Kluyveromyces lactis: one gene and its partner. The protein of the gene in region 1 interacts with the protein of each later gene in a biochemical or structural test. Links are inferred from orthologs where the notes say so. Each region holds a gene or a part of one and is shown in the gene's direction. Other genes may lie near its edges.

Region 1 (3,034 bases):
TCCGGGGTCGTTTTTTTTGGAGAAAATTTCTTTCAAAATTGATCCGCTGCCCGTACTCAGCCAGATGATGATAGATAAATCAGACCCTAGTGGACAGGAAGGAACGAAAGGCTGATCAAAGGTGGCGGTCAAAACGCCGGTGAAACCTTACTATTACTTTATTTTGATTACTATTATGCTTAATACTCGTAGCAAGGGCTATATATGATCAGGCTGGCCATGTTTTGGCCTCTATTTCAAATCCGTCTACATAACTATACAGCACGAATTGGTTTTCTTTGCTTGCTTATAGAACATCCTCGATGCAGCAGATAGTGATTCGGACTTGTCTACCAAATTGTCCAATTTCTCACCTCTTTGTAATACGTTTTCAATGGTTTTGTGTAGCGTGATCTTGGTCTCGTCTAATTCTTGCTGTACACGCATTATTGCATCAGCTTGAGATGGGTCCTGATACTTGGCAATATAGATATCCAACTCCTTCAACTTGAGCGAATCGTCACTCTCCGTCACGTCCTTCCACTGGATAGGAGGGTGCGCTACCAAATACTCATCCAATACTTTGTTCAACAACGTATAAGCTGGTCTTACTGGGTACTCCTTATCCGTAATCAAAACACCACAAATTCCTTCAGGCCTTGCGTAAACGTGACCTACATAGTTACCTTCTTCAACACTCTGTCTTTGACCAGCACTTGTCCTGCCAGCAACAGTCTCACTGAAAAAGGACATGAACTGTGCAACACTGTTCCTTTCAAAGAACCCAAATTGTGATAAGTCCTTCACAGAACTTAATTCAAGGGTCTTATCATCGCTGTTTCTTAAAACTCCAATGTAATATATCTTCATCCTTGTATCCTGTATCCTGTTTTCTCCCACTTGTCAAATGAGAAAAAAAGCTACTATTTTGCCCAAACTTAACTATTCTTAGATCCCCTATACGTGTACTATAACACTGTCCTTCTCGTCTCCGTGTTATCTTCAAAATACATCATCATTTCCCATCCTCATATCACAATGCTTCAATATCCATTTTGTTTGATATTCGAATTTTTCTTTTTTTTGCTAACAAAGGCATTTTCAATTTGTCAAAGGAACATTTAAAAGAGAAGCTGATTGATACCCACAACGGGAGGAAAGAAATTTGCTTTTAGTTAGGTTTGGTATTTTTACAGTACACTTAGAAAACGTTTGAAAGTTGCTGACGAGTCAATTGATTATAGGCATATACATATTTTTTTGAAGACAATGTTCCGTGTTTCTTTACAAGCTACTAGACGTGTTGCTTTTAGATCCGCTAGACAAATTAGGTTTTACAGTGCTCATCCACCTTCCGGTGGAGTGAGCCATATGAACAAGCCAGCATTGTTGTTGGCTGGGTTCAGTACTCTTGGTGCCATCTACGTTGCTGATGGGTGTCCTACTTTGATTGAGAGGAAGCCTGCTCCTGCTGAGAAGCCTGCTGAAGAGACTCCTGCAGCGGGCCAATCACAATCTATTTCTGAACCTACGAAGGATGCCGATGAATCTCCGGTGTCTGCTCAGGAGGAAGGTGCTGAGCCAGTTACTACTCCTGAGAACGAGATTACTTATAGCGAGGAGACACACCAGGCCTTAGCAGCCACCTTATCAGGAGATGAGCCAGCTGCCATTGAGCCAGTTGCTGAATCCGTCAATGAACAAGCTACCGAACCAGCTGCCAGTGGAGAAGCCACCAATGAACCTGTTACTGGCATTTCCGAGGATACCAAAGCTCCCTCTTTGAGCTTCGATGACTCAAAAACTGCCAAGGGTGTTGTTTTAGAAGATGAAGCTGACAAAAAGGAGATTCAACAAACAAGCCCAGATGCCGTAAAAACCGCCTCAAAAGACGGTTCAGAAGGTGAATCGGATGTTGTTTTGCATGAAAAATCTCCTGCTGAAGCTGAGACCATAACAGAAGCAGAAGAGCAAGCTGAAATTCGGTCTATCTCCGGTGGCACTGCTGAACAGTCCGCTACTGCGGCTGCTGCGGCTGCAGGTGTTCAAGGTGAAAAAAAAAACGAACAACAAACTGCATACAACCCAGAAACTGGTGAAATCAACTGGGATTGTCCTTGTTTAGGTGGTATGGCATACGGTCCTTGCGGTGAAGAGTTTAAGTCCGCTTTTTCATGTTTTGTCTACTCTGAAGCTGATCCAAAGGGTATCAACTGTGTTGAGAAGTTCTCCACTATGCAAAATTGTTTCAGAAAATACCCAGACTATTATGCTGAACAAATCAAGGATGAAGAAGAAGCTTCTGCAGAAGCTTCAAAAATCGAGGATAAGAGCACTACCCCGGTTTCAACTGCCACCTCTACTGTTGAAGTACAAACTGAAAATGCCGTTTTCGAACCTGTCTTGGAAAAATATGTGGAAGAAAACCCTCAACTAAAGGATACTCCTGAAGCTGCCGCTGTCACGAACACTGACGATGAAAAGAAATAGAATCTTCCCGACCCTGAACTGCTGCCGTTAAAGATACTTTTTTAAATTTGCCAATGAGCATCATGAATTCTGACGTTTGAACAAAGATAATAAAACTAAAGCTAAAGAAATTAAAAAAATTACGTGGTTCCCTTGTTTGTGTTATATCCAATTCAAATAAAAGCCCATGGCTCTCGTAATGAACTGACCTGTTCATCGAACTCGCCTTCTTTGTCCAATAAAAAAAAAATTAACATACATTCTTATTACATTCTACAATTCCATTCGACATAATGGCAATGTGAAAACGAACAAAAATCCAATGAAATGTTCTGATAGCGTGTATAAACACTACATAAAGACATTTTCCTAATGATATGCCATGCTTATTCTGTTTTCAAATTAGATCCAGTAATTGGTAGAGAAAAATTGGCTCAAATCTTGATTCTGTTCTGTTTCTCCTTTGTAACCATAAAATATCTCCCATAAGGACTACATTTACTCTTTTATTGTTATATTTACTCACAGTGAATACCGGAGCTACCTTCTCTTTGCCAAATATATTAATTGAGGCAGTATCATTATC
Region 2 (2,185 bases), on another chromosome or scaffold:
GTCATAGCATTTATTGGATCATGCACTGGCGGCTCCTGAAACGTTATATTTCCATTACTATCCTTAAGAATGACTGGTCCAATAGGTTCTGTCGATGGTTCTTGGGACGGTGATGAAGATATTGAGGATGTACTTTTCGTTGGATAATCATCACTTGGAATAATCCGTCTCTTTTTCAGATTATAATCCACATTGGCAGTACCTGACCGTTTGGGCCTCGTTACCTCCATATTTTTTGTCATGAAGCCGGAAAGTAGATGTACTGGCACGTAATTTTTTTAGCCGGTACTTTCCCCTACTCGTTGTTTCGCGTTGAACCATAATTTAATTCAATTGTTAGATGCGTTCAATTAAATTTGTATCGCACTTTTTTATTTTTTTTCTGTATTCCAATATCACGAACCTTCGATAGTTGAAGTCGTATACACATACCAGCTATATCAATGATAATGGAATCAAAATGTATATAGTTACGGGAACAGGCTGAGGCGTCACCAGTCACATTAAAATAATAGAAGCAACCATGGACGACGAATTGAGAGCCATTAGAGAGGCCAGATTGAGGGAATTGAAGCAACAAAGTGGAGGAACATCAGAATCAGCAAACAACGGATCGAATGATGGTCAAACACAAGCGATATTGAATCAGATTTTGGATTCCAATGCACAAGAAAGATTGAGCAGGGTAGCGTTGGTGCGGCCAGAACGTGTAAAGGCAGTAGAAGCTTATTTACTACAAATGGTGCGGTCCGGTGCTATTAGAAACAAATTAACAGAGCAGGACATCGTTGGAATCCTCGAATCAGTCGGAAGAGATGAGCAAAAGCGCAATACTACACGTATTATATTCGATAGAAGAGAAAAAGGAACAGCATCATCTAGTGTGGATCAAGATGACGATGAAGACGATGATTTCTTTGACTAGTTATCTGTCTTCAATATATCAGGTTTTAACAGAGAAAGAAAGTAAGATATACATGCATATATAATTACAACGAATGAGAACTCAATCCTCATAAGTACCAAATAATTGCAAGAATCGGTAGTTCCAAAGGTTCAATGACTACTATAGGTCAATGCTCCCTCTGTCAAATCAATACATGTCCAAATCACGTGCATGTGACCGGGTAACGTATATTTCCTCATATTTCTGAAAATTTTCAGTATAGCAACTATTCGTCAGGAATTGCAGTTCACTAAAATTTAACTAATAGCAGTTAAATGCGTTGACAACTAGACTGTTGTTTGATCTGTAAATATTTATTGACGTAGTTTATCGTAGTGATTAGTCTTCTATTCATAGCCACAGGAATACCACTCCTACAATAACAACATATAAAAATCATCTTCTAAGAAATGTTCGGTCTAGGCGGTCAACCTCAATTATCTTCTCAACAAAAGCTATCAGCAGCTGAAGCTGAACTAGATTTGGTTACTGACATGTTCAACAAGTTGGTCGACAACTGTCACAAGAAATGTATTGAACAAATTTATAACGATGGTCAACTAAACAAGAACGAATCTACTTGTATCGACAGATGTGTTGCCAAGTACTTTGAAACTAACGTTAAGGTTGGTGAAAACATGCAACAGCTAGGCCAAGCTTTCTCTCCAGGTAAATTCTAAACCCGATGAGGGAAGCTTAAGCCGGGACGTTAGTGCATAATCTTTTTCGCAACTTTTCACGTTTTATCATGTACATATATGACAAATTTTGTATATACAAATATATTATATATATATATTAATTATCTATTTACAGAGTTTTAAAAATGAGGTAATGTCGGAGTACCAAACGATTAGGTTTGTGTATCTCGATCAAACCGATAAATATAGAGATATAAATGTATTTGCTAATACCGTGATGTGTTTTTGTCCATTATCTTCCCTTAGGATTGAAAATTTGGACGATCCCTTCTGTCTTTAAAATCCTAGCATTTTCATAACGCGTAATTTACAACCTTCAAAAGTATTCACTTTTGGTCTAACGTCCAAATATATTGGAGGAAGGTGGTTCTTTTCAGGTTCTGGATTCGAATAGAAGTCGATGACATAATCTATTTGTTTCCCGCAGCGATCGACGACCCAATCGTGCCTATCAAAAGGTTTGGTCATTCCAAGGATTGAGGATCTAAACCATGCTCTTGGGGTTAACTTCTTTGAATCGCCTTTGAAACTAGTCAAT

Evidence for each region. The genes of interacting proteins can lie anywhere in the genome.
Region 2: the proteins of MIA40 (region 1) and TIM10 form a complex in vitro, tested with the Saccharomyces cerevisiae proteins (4 studies listed by BioGRID, with this or other methods). The link is inferred for Kluyveromyces lactis from reciprocal best matches to the Saccharomyces cerevisiae genes MIA40 and TIM10.

Annotation. Positions count from the first base shown.
Region 1 is NC_006040.1:228,318-231,351, forward strand, and holds MIA40 (Mia40p), read left to right. Parts: upstream 1-1,248; coding exon 1,249-2,469; downstream 2,470-3,034. Other genes in the region: palmitoyltransferase YKT6, read right to left, coding at 247-849; mRNA splicing protein SPP382, read right to left, coding at 2,846-3,034. UniProt on the Saccharomyces cerevisiae protein: Required for the import and folding of small cysteine-containing proteins (small Tim) in the mitochondrial intermembrane space (IMS). Forms a redox cycle with ERV1 that involves a disulfide relay system.
Region 2 is NC_006042.1:2,403,093-2,405,277, forward strand, and holds TIM10 (protein transporter TIM10), read left to right. Parts: upstream 1-1,356; coding exon 1,357-1,626; downstream 1,627-2,185. Other genes in the region: RCO1 (Rco1p), read right to left, coding at 1-242; SDD2 (Sdd2p), read left to right, coding at 524-925; cytochrome c1 heme lyase CYT2, read right to left, coding at 1,924-2,185. UniProt on the Saccharomyces cerevisiae protein: Mitochondrial intermembrane chaperone that participates in the import and insertion of multi-pass transmembrane proteins into the mitochondrial inner membrane.